Caenorhabditis elegans: one gene and its partners. The protein of the gene in region 3 purifies or fractionates together with the protein of the main gene of each other region. This does not show direct contact. Each region holds a gene or a part of one and is shown on either strand. Other genes may lie near its edges.

What was found.
Region 1: the proteins of mop-25.2 (region 3) and B0222.5 fractionate together in Caenorhabditis elegans (co-fractionation; one large-scale study listed by BioGRID). This does not show direct contact.
Region 2: the proteins of mop-25.2 (region 3) and ndx-4 fractionate together in Caenorhabditis elegans (co-fractionation; one large-scale study listed by BioGRID). This does not show direct contact.

What each region holds. Positions count from the first base shown.
Region 1 is NC_003283.11:9,151,171-9,157,397, reverse strand, and holds B0222.5 (BPTI/Kunitz inhibitor domain-containing protein), read left to right. Parts: upstream 1-2,525; 5' UTR 2,526-2,528; coding exon 2,529-2,608; intron 2,609-2,848; coding exon 2,849-2,907; intron 2,908-2,951; coding exon 2,952-3,068; intron 3,069-3,126; coding exon 3,127-3,210; intron 3,211-3,252; coding exon 3,253-3,384; intron 3,385-3,429; coding exon 3,430-3,575; intron 3,576-3,624; coding exon 3,625-3,736; intron 3,737-3,958; coding exon 3,959-4,051; intron 4,052-4,338; coding exon 4,339-4,452; intron 4,453-4,495; coding exon 4,496-4,668; 3' UTR 4,669-5,077; downstream 5,078-6,227. Other genes in the region: B0222.15 (Activin_recp domain-containing protein), read left to right, coding at 662-749, 803-863, 922-982, 1,643-1,783.
Region 2 is NC_003279.8:13,791,560-13,796,799, forward strand, and holds ndx-4 (Bis(5'-nucleosyl)-tetraphosphatase [asymmetrical]), read right to left. Parts: upstream 2,594-5,240; 5' UTR 2,582-2,593; coding exon 2,351-2,581; intron 1,366-2,350; coding exon 1,180-1,365; 3' UTR 1,080-1,179; downstream 1-1,079. Other genes in the region: ccct-1 (Coiled-coil and C2 domain-containing protein 1-like), read left to right, coding at 1-71, 493-606; Y37H9A.5 (uncharacterized protein), read right to left, coding at 4,740-4,761, 4,832-4,962. UniProt on the Caenorhabditis elegans protein: Asymmetrically hydrolyzes Ap4A to yield AMP and ATP.
Region 3 is NC_003280.10:9,699,979-9,706,166, forward strand, and holds mop-25.2 (MO25-like protein 2), read right to left. Parts: upstream 3,724-6,188; 5' UTR 3,722-3,723; coding exon 3,635-3,721; intron 3,586-3,634; coding exon 3,364-3,585; intron 2,991-3,363; coding exon 2,893-2,990; intron 2,847-2,892; coding exon 2,611-2,846; intron 2,567-2,610; coding exon 2,364-2,566; intron 2,151-2,363; coding exon 1,980-2,150; 3' UTR 1,431-1,979; downstream 1-1,430. Other genes in the region: Y53C12A.8 (uncharacterized protein), read right to left, coding at 286-420; Y53C12A.7 (HEAT repeat-containing protein), read left to right, coding at 613-747, 1,116-1,235, 1,281-1,430; Y53C12A.10 (tRNA-uridine aminocarboxypropyltransferase 1), read right to left, coding at 4,043-4,299, 4,352-4,802; Y53C12A.3 (Protein YIPF), read right to left, coding at 5,067-5,137, 5,188-5,311, 5,361-5,483, 5,530-5,671, 5,740-5,873, 5,919-6,014, 6,138-6,188. UniProt on the Caenorhabditis elegans protein: Regulates asymmetric cell division in Q.p neuroblast lineage. Plays a role in cell shedding during embryogenesis.

The DNA of each region.
Region 1 (6,227 bases), on a different chromosome or scaffold from region 3:
TCACAGAGTACAATCCAGAAAGAAAAAGAGAAAAAAGAAGACGAGGAGGTGTTGGAATTCTTTTTTTTTCTATTTCTGGGTTTTTTGTTTCGAGTTTGAAACTGCAAATATTTTGAACAAGTTTTAAACCTATTTTTCTGCATCTATTCGTTTCAACTTTAATTTTTTACAAACATTTGCTCATAACTCCTTCATATCCGACTATCATACATTTGATTAAGAGTTTCTAAGAAAAGAAAAAAATTAAGAAAAAAAAAAAGTAAAAACTAGTATCCTAGGAAACTTTGACAGCATGTCAATATTATAGGCGGACAAAATTCTCAAAATGAATTCTATATGTGATATTGCAAGGGGTTTTGAAAATTCAAATTAGAAACATTTATAAAGTGAAGAGACCTGAATAAAGCAGGTTTTCAAATTACAAAATATCCGCATCATAAAAACCATACAGTTCAAACAAATTGCCAACAACTAACCAAAACTTGAACCAATTCCTTCACACTAATGGAATTAGTGTTTGTTCTTATTTTGTTTGATCTAAAACTATATTTACTTATTCCTTTTAAATTCAACTCTTCATCTCAAACTCTGTGGAAATGACACTCCTAAAAAGTTAAATTTCAGTTGAACTCCGTATTAAACCAAGTGAACGGAAACAATTATGAGCGTGCACCCTGTCATTATCTGTCTTTTCATTTTCTTTTTCATTTTGCCGCCTTCTGCAGATACTACTGTGAAGTGTTTTAAAGGTACGTTGAATGAGCAGAAGAGCATTTCGTGTGCGTGACGAGTGATTCTTTAGGGTTCTCGGGAGATGGAAGGCCGTTCAAACAACGTCTTTGTCAGACAGAATATTGCATAAAGTGGGTTGAAAGAAGAAAAAGAAAAGGCAGCAAGTTTATTGGAATTTTCATTTTGCAGAACGACAGAGCCAACTGGCGGAGCTACTTACGGATGTGATGACTTTACGCCGTTTTGCAAAGTGAGCGAACAAAACGAGTTTGAAATTGAAAGAACAAATGTGCAAAGTGAAAATCAGAAAAAAAATTGTCGAAAAGATTGAATGTGGCGCAGCCCTGGTGTAGATTTTCTGGAAATTAATTATAAAAACCATACTCATTGAAAGAGCAATGTCAACTTTAACAGAAAACAAATACTAGAAGCGGACAAAACCCATATGTAGCGGACAAAGCCCAATGCTACATACTGTAACTATGGAAAAATAACGGAATACACTTTCGCTTGTAGAAAATGAGTGGGGTCAATGCCGGTTTTATCTAAATGTATGTATTGTCAATTTGCCAAAAAATGACCAACAGTGAATAAAAATCACAATAAGGATTATTTAAACTTAAATTTAAAAACAGCGTATTTTTCTATCGTCTGACACTTAACAATGGTTCCGGTCTTTGAAAAAAATATTAGAAAAATACATTCCTATATGTTATACTTGAAGCTCGATTCCCGTATTGTTTCTCAAAAGTATAATTTATGATTCTTAGTGATAGAAATTCATTCTAGAACGTTTTGTTGTTTTCTTATTCTAAAAACTCGTGAGTAACGTTTTCTTCCAGTGATTTCCATAGAAACTTCTAGACTTTTCTATTCTTTTAATCTTTTCTCAATGTTTTCTTTTTTTCAGAAAGACGAATGCGTGGTCACTTCGAAACAAAGTAAAGTCTGTTGCTGTAATACTGATCTGTGTAACTCTTCTCCAATCACTTTCTGGCCTGTGTCTCTACTATTCTTCATTTTATTTTCTTATTTTATGTCTAGTTATTAGTTTGAACTTTATTTATTTAAAAAAATATTCCGACAAAAACGGGTTATTTTCTGATGATTCACTTCTTTTCCCGAATAAATGTTTTTTCAACTAAAGGTAATTCTGTTAGTCAAACCAAATTTATTGGTGTAAAAACGAATCCAAAGAGAATAAGAGAATGTACCAGTTTTATCGATTGATCATTGCATTCTAGTAGTTGACATAATATGATAAAAAGGAAGTAAACCTTTTTTTTCGTTTTTCGTCGAACAAAGATTCGTTCAGCAATTGATTCCTTTTCTTGTTCTCAACTAGCACTGATACTGCTTAGTTTTTTCTTTTGAAAAAAGATACTGTTTCAATTTTTAATCTTTCTTGATTTTTTGAATCTTCGGAGAGAAGAAAGAATATAACTTGGCTTTCATATCCTAAGAAAATTATTTTTTTCTCGAATTTTTCCTTTATTTGAAATATTTTTGTTAATGTTTCCAAATATTTGTGAACACTTTTTGATTCACCTATTTCATATGCACAGAATTTATGTACATAAAAATAACTTACATAAAATTTCATCGGCGAGTGATGAAAATAACCAAAAGCCAGTAATTCCCAAATACAATAGATCACTCAATGATCAACTCATAGCTCTTACTATTTTTTGTTCTCGAAAATCAAATAATGTTTGTTTCACTAACTAGTTATTATTTACCTTCATTCATTTCCTCGTTTCAATCATTCCTTCGAACGCAATTTTTTGATTTCCGGCATGCGAGCTTTCTGCATAATATTACTTGTTGGATTCACCCAAGTCAATGCTCTGTTTGGAGACAGATTATTACGAGCCAGGTTAGTTCTTTGGAACAAAAATTGTTAGGCACAATTTATGAAAAACCAATTTTGAAATAATTAGAACCCTAGTAAGTGAAAATATTTTTCAACAGTTCGGTGTCCACTATTAAAAAAATAACAGTTTTGTTTAAGAATTTTATATTAATAAAGTGTTGAAGCAACTGGTGGAAATTTTAATTTTTCAACATTACTTTGCTTATTTCAAATTTATTATAAAAATGTAATATTTTATTACAGAAACCCAAAAACTGGACCATGCACGTTGAATGATGATGGACTAAAATGCAATGAAAATGGTGATTCTAAACTTTAAATTATATTAATTTATTCATAATTTTAGGATACTATGAAACTGTACAATGTAACTCTGAATCATGTTATTGTGTTACTCCTCACACTGCACTTGTTGCATACGACACACGAACCAACAATCCGAAAACCGCGCCAAAATGTGGAAGTAAGTAGAGACCATTCAATTTCCTAAGTTTTCCCAAAAGTGACGTTTATCGTTTCAGCTTGCCTTGTTTACCTCCAAAAGCTGTTTGCCGACGGAGATCCTCCAGAAAATAGTTTCGTACCAAAATGTGACGTCGGAAAAGGTATGAAAAAATAATGCTAAAGATAAAATATAAGTATTTAAGGTGATTTTGAGCCTGTACAATGTGACAGTAAGAAGAACCAATGCTACTGCGTGGACACAAATACTGGAAGAGAAATACAAGGGACACGAAAACCATTGAGTAACACAACAAAGATGAATTGCATGCAAATTGGTAGTTCAAAATCATGAATAATTTAAAATAATTCGATAATTTCAGATTTCTCCATCGATTCGTCAGCATTCCCCGCTTTTGAAAAACCAGATCCTGCCAAACCGAAAAATGATCAACCGATTGGAAAACCATGGTGTGCAAGTAACAGAAATGCTGGACATACATGCAATCAAAATAAAACTTCGATAAGAGTAAGTTGATTTTAAACCTAATAAAAAATCGGGCAAATATTTTTTTTAGTACTGGTTTGACGTTGAAACCTTCCAATGTTTCCCATTCGAACACAAAGGCTGTGGTGGAAATCAGAACTCCTATAGAACAAGTAGTGAATGCTATTTTGACTGTGTCTTGCGTAAGTTATCCACGTATTGTTTTCATGAATATAAGTGACGTTCACCAAGGAAAATGATCACAAGTAGGCCTATGGTACCAAAAATTGTAAAATGTTTCATACATTTTTGACCCAAAAGTTTGAAAACTCTGAGCCCCTCATTGACGTATTCAATTTTTAACTCAAAAATTCAATTTTTAACTCAAAAATCAAATACGATAATTGAATGCAGTTTTATTTCAGAAGACTACTTCAGTTGTGCAATGCAATCACAACCAGCTAGAAAGTCGAATGGACAATGGTATTCTTGCCCAGAAGGCCCAGATGGTCCACCAGGTATGTTTTGAGATTGATGGTTTTTTAATAAAACTTTCGAACTTTCTACTGCATAAATAATATTTGAAAATTAGCTACAAATTTTTGTGGTGAAAAACGAAACTTACAATTCCGGTTTATAAAATGTTATTTTTTATTTCATTTAAAGGATCCTGTTTTTCGGATCTGAGCTGTTTAAACGTTAGAAATACAATGTTTTAAAAACGAGTATTAGTTAGTTTAAAACTTTATTAAAGTAATAATGAACATTAAAAAAACTAACTGAAATATTGCTTCATATTTTTCAGGCTTCAAGACTACTACAACTCCAGGCCCAAAACTAACCTCTGATGGTTGTCCAAAGGGATATATTTGTTCTATGGGAGCATTCTTTGGTATTTGCTGCGAGGAGAACTTGACAAGTAAGTAATCATATTAGCGACAACCAAAACACAAAGTTTCCAGATCGCTACCAAGCAGCATTCAAACCATTATGCAAAAACAAGAAAGAAGCTTTGCAAACGAAACAGGACGATTGGTCGAGTGCAATGCTCGGAAAATCATGTTCCGATAGATTCTGTCCAAGCAGTCATACTTGTGAACATAACGAGTTTTTTGCATATTGTTGTCCGCGTTAATATGTGTGTTTTGACGTTTGTTTTCTTGCCCATTCGAACCGCCCTTCAATTCACATTCTAATTCAGGTTGTAATAAATAAGAAAAAGTATTTGTAGTTCTTTTGTTTTTCACAATGATATGTAATGTATATTAAACGACCTTTCATCTCTTCTGTCCTTTTCTTCTGTGTTGGTTTTCCACCCAGACAAATTGCCGGCCCCCTACTTTAAACGTGTCTTCTCATAGCATTGATTATTGATGCCTATGTGATATCAATATCTTTTATATTCATTTTCCCTCCTAAAAGAAATATGTTCAGAAAACTGCACCGAAACAAAGTCTTCGACCATACTAGATACTTGTTGATTTCTGATAGTGTCCTGTTCACCCCATAAAAATGTGTTAAATGCAGCAAGCAACAAAGTATATTTGTGATTGAAATTTGATGCGAATAGAATTTAAAAATAGAGTGATCACAGTTCTAGCAGAAAACGAATTTTCACAAATGAATCGGAATGATGACTTGGTCTATTTGAATTCGCTCAATGTCTCCGCAGACATGATGTGTACCCAAAAATGACTTGATTGATGATTTCACAAATGTTCCAGTTTAGTTTCGTGCTTTATGTGGAATATGCTACAAAACGCTAAAATACGATAATCGAAGGCTTCAAAACTAAACTGCGGTGGACTTTTCTAGCTCGAAATATGCAACTGAAACAGTTGTTGGGCTATTCTTTGCTCAAGAAAAAATTATTACGGCACAACAACTGTAATTTTTTTTTCTAGAAAAAAATTCATTTGAAAAATGGACGCTGATGAAAAAGTTATTAAATGAGCCGCGTAACTACATTGAAAAAATGTTAAACGTATTTTCAGAAATTGTTTTGTTAAATTGTAGAAAGAAGAATAATCAAAAATAAAACTCATAGTCAGGTAACTTTTTTTTGAATATTTTAAAGCAGAAAACGAAGGATCTCGTTTAAACTTATCAAGATTGTTTTTTGATGTCTTAGTTCAGTGTAGTTCTCTAAATAAAACAAGAAATATAGGTTTATCCGTATGTTTGCAGAAAATTAGTTCAACAGATCAAATGTTCATATTAACGTGACTTTTAAAAACATGAAAGACGGATCAGTTCAAAGTACGTTTCCGAAGTGAACACATGGAGATATTCAAAGTACATGCTGATCAAAAGAGCTTGAAATTAAAATTCGAAAATGTTCAATTGCCCTATATGCAAATTGAGAAAAACGTGCAAGTGGGGATCTTGTTAAAGATTTTGTTGTCTTAAACTTCCAGTCAAAATTTTGGCGGATTGCCAAATTTTTAAACAATACAATCTTTTAAGAAAATAAAAAGCAATGTCACATGTTCCACTCCTAGAATTTTTTACACGAATAAAAACAAAATTATAAAATTCGTAAATCGTAGAAATAATTTCTTTTGGTCTATTTCCAAAATTATTAATGAAAAAAATTGGTAATTGTCACTTTTTGACAGTAACTAAAAATTTTCCAACAATAATTTTGAAGGTAATTTTGAAACCATAGCAGTAGTTTCATATACTTTCCTCACT
Region 2 (5,240 bases), on a different chromosome or scaffold from region 3:
TGGGCACTTGTGAATGGAAATTGGAGAAGCTGGAACATAGTGCTGAAATGGAAGAATCACTTCCATTGAAGGTGATTATCGATTTTTTTTTGTAATTTATTGATTTTCTTCAGAAACATCAAATTATGAAAAGAGCAATTTTTTAGTGTTTGTAGATCAATTTTGAGTCCTCTAACTTCAAAATGAACCATTTTAGAGAAGTTTCAAAATTGTGATTTTTGCCACTTTTTTGCCATTTTTAATGTTTTTTGACGGGTTAAACCTAGTTTTTCTGAATTCTGCATATATTAATTACCCGTTTTCAATCAATTTAGACAACTTTTTATTTTTGCCCATTTTCATTTTTCAGCCATCTAATGACTGTACTTTTTTTTTTCTTTGGGCAAAATTTTTTTTTTTTTTTTCAAAAACGTACTGATTTTAACGGAAAATTTCGAATTTCCGATAAAAAATTAGATTTTTCGTAAAATTTTCTAATTTTTCTCGTTTCAGGACGGCCGTAAAGCAGTTGGTGGTCTCTTGTCGGCGAAAGTTCGAATTCGTCAACCAATTGGTGATGCAAAAGCTCAACATATTGCCCAGAAATGGCTCATTTTAGATAATTAAATGGATTCTTTCTACTTGATTCGATGTTTTAAATGTGTTTTTTTTTGAATATAATATAAATATTTGGTTTATCGGAAGAGTTAACGACTTTTTAATTTTTTCAGAGGAGTAACATTTATATATGCTGAATTTAGAAAAAAGTGGCAAAAATGGCAAAAAAAACGGCAAAAATCACAATTTTGAAACTTCTCTAAAATGGTTATTTTTTAAGTTAGAGGACTCAAAATTGATCTCTAAACCTTAAAAAATTGCCCTTTTTCAAATATTGATGGTTTTGTACGTTTTCAGAAAAATTATTTTTTTGCCTAAATTAAAAAAAAGGACAGTTAGAGGACTCAAAATTGATCTCTGAACCCTAAAAAACTTTTTGAAATTTTCGAAAAAAAATCTGTTTTATCAGGCTCTGAGACAACACGCATTCATTAATAATTACGAGCATTATATTTTTGATAAAGAGAGAGCATCATGAACAATTGTGTATGAAAAGATTTATATTAAATAAAAAGTTTACATTAAATAAATAAATGAAAATTATTTTTTTTCGAAAAATATGAAATTATCGGTGAAAAATCGTTAAAATCCGGCCAAAAAAGCGGAAAATTTGCGGAGAAGGCTGCCCATTTCAGCGTAATCGGCAATTTTGATAGCATCTTCCAATTCACACCATTTCCAATTTTGATGTTCATGAGATAGTTGAACGTCGTCTGGATTGTTGAGCTTGGCGAGCCAATATTTCACTGATTTTGGCTTCCCTTTTGCCTGTAAATTTAGCGAAATTTGGGATTTTTTTTAGTGTTTAGTTCAATTTTCAAATGAAAAATCGATTTAAAAAATATGTAAATTCGCTGAAAACCCAATTTTTTATCGATTTTTTCTTTCAAAATTCGGAAAAATTGCGTTTTTTTCCAGAATTTTCCCGGAAATTTTGCCATTTTTCCTAAAAATCGATACATTTCACAAAACCAAAAAAAAAATTTTTTTCAGTGTAAAAACCTGGAAAAAATTGAATTTTCAGGGTCTTGTGAAAAAAAAATCAATTTTTTTTACAAAATTTACGAAAAAAGGAAATTTCTTTCGTTTTCGCCGGTAAATATCGATTTTTCTATCAGAAAATCGAAAAATCCCGAATTTTCCCAAAAAAAGCTTAAAATGGATAAGTTTTCCGAAAAAATCGATATTTTCGTGTTTTTTTCCGCAAAATTGCAGAAAAATTGAATTTTTGGTGAAAAATCGGAGATTTTTTTCAAAAAATTTTTCAATGAAAATTTAGTTTTAGAAAAATCGATAATTTGTTGATTTTCTAAAATAAATTATCGATTTTTCCATTTAAAAAATTCAAAAAAATTCAAAAAAAAAAAAAATTCAAAAAAAATTTTCGATTTTCTATTTAAAAAATCGATAATTTATTTTTTTTTCGAAAATTCGCACAAAATTATCGATTTTTCGGGTTTTTAATCGAAAATTTCGAAAATATCGATTTTTTTTCGAAATTTTTTAAATCGATTTTTTATTAAAAATTCGAAAAATTCGAAATTATCGATTTTCGCAGGATATTATTTAATTTTTAATTTTTTCGATTTTTCCATCGGAAAAACGATAATTTATTGATTATCGAAATTAAATTATCGATTTTTTCATTAAAAAATTCGAAAATTTTGAATATATCATACTTCGCCGGAAATTATCGATTTTTCCATCAAAAAATCGATAAAAATTATCGATTTTCTTACACACACACACACACCTCATAAAAGAGTGTTTCATGACAATCTTCATGAATTGTCAGTTGCTCTTTTGTAATATTAGCTTCTTCCTTAGTCTCACGAATTGCCGCCTGCCATTCATCTTCTCCTGGATCCACGTGACCTTTTGGTGGGGTCCAGTGATGTGGTGGATAGGAGGCTTGAAGCAGGAGAAACTCGATTTTTCCCGCCAACTTCCGGTAGATCACAAGTCCCGCGGCTTTTACGACCATTTTTTGTTGGCGCTGAAAAAAACTGGATTTTTTTTTTTAGAAAATATCGATTTTTTGTTAAAATTGGATTAAAAAAAATAGGAGCACACGACAAAAAGCTCCAAATTTTGAAAAAAATTAATTTTAGGCGTAAAATGGCGGGAAACTCGAAATTTTGATCAGAAAAATCGGAATTTTTTTTCAAAAACATATTTTCGGTAAACTTTACGCTGAAAATTTCAAATTTTCGAGTTTGGTGCTCCGAACGCAACTCAGCGCCCCAGCAGAGCCGAAAAGCTGCTCTTTGGGCTTCAAATCGGAAGTTTATAGCTTCCTATTTGGAGCTCACAGAGCAAAAGCTTCTCGGCGCTGCTGGGGCGGTTTTGTGCAATTTTAAGGTGAAAATTTGAATTTTTGACTGAAAAATCCAATTTTTTTTGGCAAAAATTGAGAAAAACTGAAAAAAAAATTCGAAAAGGACGTTTAGACGGCCTAAAAATTTTTTTTTCGGTGAATAATTGGATTTTCCTAAGAAATTTTGCTACAAAAATTAAAAAAAAAAGAATTTTCTGGTTTTCTAGAAAAAATATAGAGAAAACTTCTAGTTTTTTTCAATTTCTGCAATTTTTATAGACAAATTGATTTTTGGAAACATTTTCGCGTTTCTGAATTACTAAAAAACATTTTAAAAATTAGAAAAAAATTTTGGAGTACTGTAGCTCTAAAAGTACGTCAAAACTGTAGCTTACAAGAAAATGAACCAAATTTCGAAAAAAGTTGATTTTAGGGGTAAAAATGGCAGGAAATTCGAAAATTAGTTTAGAAAATTTCAGAATTTTCCAGTTTCTGCCACCGAACGCAACTCTGCGCCCCAGCAGAGCCGAAAAGCTGCTCGTTGGGCTTCAAATCGAAAGTTTATAGCTTCCTATTTGAAGCTCACAGAGCAAAAGCTTCTCGGCGCTCACGTGTAGTCAAGCTGTCTCATCGGTGTTTTTCGGTGTATTGGCCGCAAACACGCGGCGCATAAATTGACGCGCAAATGCAGACAAGCGGGCAGGATTTACGAGAGATTGTGATTTTTATTTTATTTTCTTTCATTCCTTTAAAATATAACTTTTTGTCATTTTTAAAGTTAATTTTTTGTTGAAAACTGGTCTATGGACCACCACGAACTGGAAAAGCATTGTTAGCTCGTGCAGTTGCTCATCACACTGAGTGCACATTTATTCGAGTTTCCGGCTCCGAGTTGGTGCAGAAGTTTATTGGAGAATAAACACGAATGGTAAGTGGATCGACATAATAATCTTTACATTTACAATGCTTTCAGGTGCATGAAGTCTTCGTGATGGCTCGTGAGCATGCTCCATCGATCATTTTCATGGATTAAATCGATCCAATCGGACCAAGCAGAGTTAAAGAATCTAGTGGAGGAGATTCGGAAGTTCAGAGAACTATGCTCGAGCTGATCAATCAACTCGATGGATTTGAGGCAACGAAGAAGAGTATTAAGGTAGGGAAAATGCAAAAACTTTCTAATTTCTAAATATATATGTTCAGGTTATCATGGCAACCAACCGTATCGACATCCTCGACACCGAGCAAATTCCTGGAGCATCGGGAGCCGAAGTCAAGTCAGTCTGTTTCGAGGCTGGTATGTTTGCGCTCCGTTAGCGACGTATTCATGTGACACGAGAGGATTTCGAGATGGCTGTTGGAAAGGTTATGCAGAAGGATTCGGAGAAGAATGAAGAATATGTCCATTAAGAAGAAGAATATGTCCATTAAGAAGTTGTGGAAATAAGGATACATTTCGATTTTTTATCAATTACCCCCTTTTCACTGATTTTATTGTAAAAATGAGCCCCATTTATTTATTGAAATTTAATTCCCTTCACTCGTCTTCGACCAACCTACCGAGCACTTTTTGCTGAATAAATAATACAATCTGGATGATTTATTCGAGTAAAAAAATCTAAATTTTTATTTTTAACATGAAAAAGCATTTATTGTTTCCCATATTCGTCGGAAATCTCTCCATCTTTGTGCATTGAAATGAGAATATCACATCCGCCGACGAACTCTCCCTTCACATAGACTTGTGGAATTGTTGGCCATTAGCTGAAGATTTTGACGCCTTCTCTCAGCTCCTGATCGGTCAGAACGTTGTAGTCTTGGAATTTTACATTGTGGAAGTCGAGAACCTGAAACGGAAATTTGATTTTAGGGATTTTCGGATTATTATAAAGAAAGATCCCCGGATCTATATCTAACCTCGAAGCGGAGGTTCTTGATGAACTTGGCGTCGACTTCCTTCTATGGAGAGGAAAATCTTTGGCTTCGTGATTCCAATACGGTGAGCCGTGTTGTTCTGGTTGTGATTGGTGTGATTCTTCGACTTCCATGCATCGTGTTGCCTTCAAAATTTGTACTTTTCACTTTGCAATTCGATTTCAACACAAACCTGTGTGAGCTACTTAAACTTCTCACTCTCTCTCGACGATCTCGAACTCTCCGATCTGCCCGCGCTCACTGAGGCCCGGAAACGGACGAAACCCTGAAAAAAACGCTGGTTAGATAAGGAAAAGACGGATTGAGAAAGTATAGAACCGAAAAGTACATGTAAAGCTTATTAACATTATCGTTTTCATCGAGAACATATATGAAACGGCTTCATTCGCCC
Region 3 (6,188 bases):
AACGTTGATTTGCTCCATCAGCCGAGTCATCAGCCGCACAGCCCTACTGTATATTTGTACTTTCTTTAGATAACTTTATGTTTTATTTAAAAGTTCCGAAAACTGCTTCAAAGTAGAAATATGCCAATCGGCAGAGTCACTCGGCTTACTGCGACTTTGTACCAGTTTTGAACACTTCTCAAAACTTTTAAATAAGAATAAAGTTATCTACAGAAAGTAAAAATATGTCTCTACATTCCGGTATAAAAATTACCATGCCGCGCTTCTCTTCCCCTGATCACTTACCACAAGTTTAAAACCTTCAGATTGGTTTGCATCAGAAGATGTGGCTGATGTTGATGACGTCAACGACCTCTCATTTTTTCGCTTCGATTTGATGAACATTTCGGATTCAATCGTTTTATTCCGATTACCGTACATTTCGGTTTAGATTTGAAAGAAAAATAGTAGAAAATGACGAATTCTTTCAATTACTCTTCGTTTTTATTGGTGAAACGTAGATTGATTGGGGGTGGGGGGGGGGGGTATATATTTTTTATATATTATTTTTAGAGAGTTCACGGTATTTAGATTGTTCAAATATTGTTCATTCCTGAAAAAAATTCCACGAAAATGAAAGTGCCAGAAGAAATCCAAACGGAAATGATGGCTGACATGCTTCGTGAAAAAATGAAGAATCACAAAAAATCGAAACCAAGTGGGAAAAAGAAGGAGAAAAACGAACAAATCGTTGCAAAAGCTGATAAAGTAAGTTTTGCTACTTTTCGCAGAAAGATGGTCTTTGCACGAGTCAAACTTTTCAATCTACCGTACCGTTCTCGTCTTATTATAGAGACGCATAAAAATGCGTTTATTGAATCGCGCTCCACGGCCAGTTGGACACACTCCGCCCCCAAATGTTGGGTCTCGTGAGGTATTCACGGCAAATCCGTACATTCAAACTTTTTCAATTATTTTTTCCTGATTTCACCCGTCTTCAAGCAAAACGTTTGAATTCAGTTTTGCCGCCGTACCTAACGAGACCCAACGCCTGAGGGCGGAGCGTTTCTATTTGGCATTGGAGCGCGATTTCAAAAAGCGAATTTTTCAATTTTTGCAAATGTGTCAATTTTCAGCCGACTTCTGTTCAAAATCCAGCAAGAACACTCGTTCAGATTCAGGAAATTCTTGCGGAAAATTCAAATAATGATGATCTGAGCAAGTCGATGGATTTATTGATTCCCGTGATGCTTGGGGTAAATTTTAAAATAAATTTTGTATTTAAGTCAACTTTCTTGAAGATGTTATTCTGCTCTCCCCATCCCAAAGTCCGTGACCAGGCGATTGAGTGCCTCCGAACTATAGATCAAAAAATGGGAAAATCAATTATCGAAAAGCATGTGAAGAGGATGTCGAATGAGAAGAGAACTGTTATAGCGTCTTTGATTTGAAAATTTTCATGCTAAAAAATCGATGTTTCTGACATTTGAAGTCATAAAAATAGAATCAAGAAATCGTTTGAAATATCATAAAACAAAAAAAAAAGACAATGATCATGGATAGAGCGAGAAAATCAAATTCTTTGATGAAGAAGGAAATAAACCTTAACTTAACATGTGAAAAACCGTAAAATAAGAGGGAAAACAGACGGAAAGGGGATGGATATTTTTGTATTCGTACATGATTTTAATATGGGGGATTCTTTTAAAGGAACGATTATATTTTGTTTGCAGAGAAAGACGGTAAAGATCGATGCCTAAAGCGAGGTGTGGATGGAACAAAATTTTTGGCGATTGGAGGGCGGGGAGGTACTACTGTATCTTAATATTATAGCTACAGTAACCCCCGAAAATTTCACAAATGATAATTGTGGTTTTTTTTTGAATATTGATAAGGATAAGGATGCACTACACAAAGCCACTCACAAAGAAATAAAACATTGGAATAAAAACATATGGATTGTGAGAATTAAATAAAATATTTTTTGTCACATTCCGTAATCAGACACGAAGTTCTTGTATCTGCTTGATGAGATACGCCTTTTCGTCATTGAATTGCTCGTCGTTAGTTCGATCATTGTGAAATGCAGTGAGAAATTCTACGAGTTTATCACGATTTCTTGTCAAAATATCAGTGATTGGACGTGGCTTGTTTGGATTCGCGACGAAGATCTGAAATTATGGGGTTTTATAGATTTTTTTTGGAAATTTTCTTAAATTTCTTGGAATAAAACGTAAAGATGTAAAATTAATAAACTTATTCTTCTTAAAATTCAATTTAAGACTTTTTTTCATCTTCAACCATTTTTCAAGATGTTTGATTCACATACAATAACTTGTTTTATTTTCAATCCAAATATTTATCTGAAATATCAAAAGAAATACCTTAAAAACGTGGAAAGCCTCGTACTGGATATTCCGTCTCTTGTCTCTCAACAATTCCATCACTGTTTTCAGATTCTCTGGACTTGTGATATATTTGTTCATTGTGCTGAAATTATGTCGATCGAGGAGAAGCTCGCCGAGCAGTTTCAGCGATTGGCGTCGGGTCACGTAGTTTTCTGAGTTTGTGAGCGCCGAGTATTGGCCTGTAATAACATAATTTTTTATTTAATATATCAAAAGTTCTCACCGAAAAATCGATCGTAATTATTATCCAAATACTCTGCACACATATTCTTATGTTTTGTCATCAAATCTTTGAATGTAGAAAATGCATCAGTGGCGATATCGAAAACGTCAGATTGAACAAAAACGAAGAACCGTTGGAAATATTCAGAATAGAGAACAATTCGAGCAAGATGCTCATGGCGGACAGCTTCACGGAGCATCGAACCGCATGTCAGGGCAATATCTGGTTGCTCGTATCTAGAGAATTTTTTTTTTTTGGATAACTTTTAGACTTTGAACTAACCCAAGAAGAAGAGTGATGAGAATTTCTGGTCTTGCAGCCAAGTATTCCACAGTTGGTGATCTTGTTCCAATTTGACGACGGAGCAAATTATTGAACACCTAAAATTATCATTTATTCATTTAAAAAATATAAAATTTTCAGAGCTTGATATCAACCAGACGCCAATATACGGTACTCGGTCTCGACATGACGAATTCAATTGTTTTTAATGCAGAGGGGTGTGTGCCTTTAAGGAGTACTGTATTTTCAAACTTTTGTTGCTGCGAAATTTTCATATCTAGTTTTTATCACGAATTTGAGTGTTTTTAATTTTTTTAAAAATAATTATAAGTATATTTTCATCGAAACTTGTTAAATTTTTACATTTCGCAAAAACGTATCGTGCCAAGACCGCGTACCGTATTTTTGGTGCGAAAGTTGCAACATTTCGTGACTGCGTTATATAATTTTTGATTTTTAGAATCCACATACCGATGCCACATCCTTCTTACATTCGAATTCAAATTTGTGCAAATGTTTAATGAGCATCGGGAGCACATTTGCGTTATAAACTTCCTGAGCCAACTGGGTCACTTGCTCATTGTTCGGCTCGTTTGCGTCTGATCCGTAAATGAACGTTTTTGCCAATGCCAACATTTTCGCTGTTTCTTCGATAGCTTTTTCGACTTTCCGCTCACTTGTGTTGGTTCCATGCTGGAAAATTTAAAATAAATAAAAATGATATTTAAAAAAAGAATCTCACTCGATCAATAACCAGCAATGCATCCCGCAGATTCTTCACCACGTCGGCGGGTGTTTTGTCCGCTTTTCCGAACAACGGCTTCAACATAACTGGAATTCTCTTTGAAAAAATCAATAATCTGAAAGACTCGTCAAAAGTATGTTCGATTGTTTTTAAAACAAGTGGATTAAACGATTAAAAATAGAAAAATACGACGGAAGGGAAACATTTTCTTTTTTATTCTTTCACATGTGTGGAAAAATTTGGGAAACCGGTCATGCAAATCGAGGAAAATCGCAGAGGAGAAAGAATTGAGTGTAAAGTAACAAACAACAACTGAGATTTCTAACAAGTCAAAATTCAAATATTCAACAATGAAAAAACAAAAACTGAAAAATTTTTTAAATAAATTTAGAAAAGCATTTAATATTATTTTTCTTCGCTTCTCTCTTCATCTTTCCGCCTCAAATAATCAGCCTGTTTCCCATCGACAAAATGTTTTGTATGGAAAAACCAATAAAGAAGATCATCGAATTCTCCACTATATTTCCGTCCGAGACCCAATTCTTGATATTCTCTAAGCGAATAATAAATTGCTTCGATCGTGGCGAGACCCGTTTCGGGAACGTTGTGTTGAGGCCGCCAGAATGCAGTACGGTATGATTGAAGAGATACGTGTTGGAGTCCTTAAAAATCTGATTATTATTATTACGATTTAAGATTTTAATTAGTATATACCTTGAATTTGAGGTGTCTTCTGCATAACACCAACTTGAAACCACGTGCAATCTAATACAACAATTCGTTTGATCGGTCCTCTTGTTTTTACAAATTCCTCAACAGAAATTGCAGATTTACTCGGAAAAATGATTGCAGTTCCTTGCCGTTCATCTTCAGAATCTTGTGAATAATCATGAACATTTGGATAATCAAAGACTCGAGTTTGATCAGGAGCCACAATTTTACAGTGAAGAGCACTGCTTTTACTATTTTTCTCCATTGGATGCTTGACGATGTCGACGGCACAGGGAAGCTTTACAGTTGGCGTAAAAACTCCGGGCATAGGAGTTCGACAATCATAACAGAAATATTTTCGATTTGATTTGCATCCTGGACACGTAGATTTCACACAATTTTCAATGGGATCGAAGCTCGAGAGTTGGACCTGATGCTCGCTGATAACTGACATGGGAACTCTGTAAATAATGTCTTGAAAATCTGAAAACTTAAAATATAATTAATATAGAACAAGGCTCTCAACCTTTCAGATTAGCAAAAAAAACAGTTTAATACATGTTCGGAGAAGATTTTAATAAATAAGGACTAAAAAACAATAAATAATACAACCATAGAATCAAGAAATATAAAATCATTAAATATCCCGTGTTAAATGAGCGAAAATCATCACAATTTGTATACATCTCGTTGGCTAAAAATAAAAAAATAACTATAATTATGCGACTGGAAGTGTTTCTTTGATAGCATTCACATCCACGATGGCATCTCCAACCATTTCGTCGAGTTCTGAATTTTTACATTTTTAAGACACAAATTTCTAATAGAAATATTATTACCTTCTAATACTACGTGGAAACCGAAATGGAGATAGATGATCAGCAATAAGTGAGCTGCAATTGCGATTCCAATAAGTAAAAGTCGATTCGCGGGAAGACGAGACTGATTGCACACTATTAGGCCCTGAATTTCAAAATTTTTATTTATTTTTTCAGTTTTATTTTAAGCTAACCATTCTTAACGCTGAAGGTACACAGAAACTGGCGAGGAGCACGAAGAAGAATAAATGATCATGAGATGAGTGAAAAAGCGAGGTTAACAGAAGTACGAGGCATTGTGAAGTTAGAGAATAGCCCTGAAAACAATTATTCTTGGTGTTCTATTTATTTTTTTTAACTTACAAAGCTCGACAATATCGTTAAAAATGGTTGCTCAGCAGCTAACAAAAAGCACGCAATCCAAAGTGCTCCAGAAATGAGCATCCAGCTACCAAAGCATGTGAACATTGCCGTACCCATTAACGTTCCATTTTGAATTACAATTCTGAAATCATTTTTATTTTATTTGAAATTTTGATTTTTTACTAAAAACAGATAAAAATAAACACGAACCCGCTGGTTTTCATGTTATACAGCAATAGCGCCACCATGGTGAGTACGAGCATAGTCGGGCCATATAAATCCGGTGAAACTTGTATTTGCGATGGTTTTCGTGGGATAAATGACCGAATAAGACGAGTTCGGACCTATAAATACATGTTTAAAGCTTAATTGTGAATTTTTCTTCAAACCTCTGCTGGATCGACATCGAAATAAGGGCGAAACAAATCGATACGACCATAAGATTGAAATGTGTCTTGAACCTGTTTTGATCCAGCTTCCCACATCTGAATTTTTGAAAATCAAAAATGCTTTAATGCAATCAAGGTTCTTTTCAAGAAACCGAAACTTTTTTGAATTATTTTTTTTCGTTTTATATTCTAAATTAAATTAATTTTAAAAAAACAAACCATCTTTCCCAATTGCGCTTGCATTCCAAATTGTGGATTCTGTTCATCGGG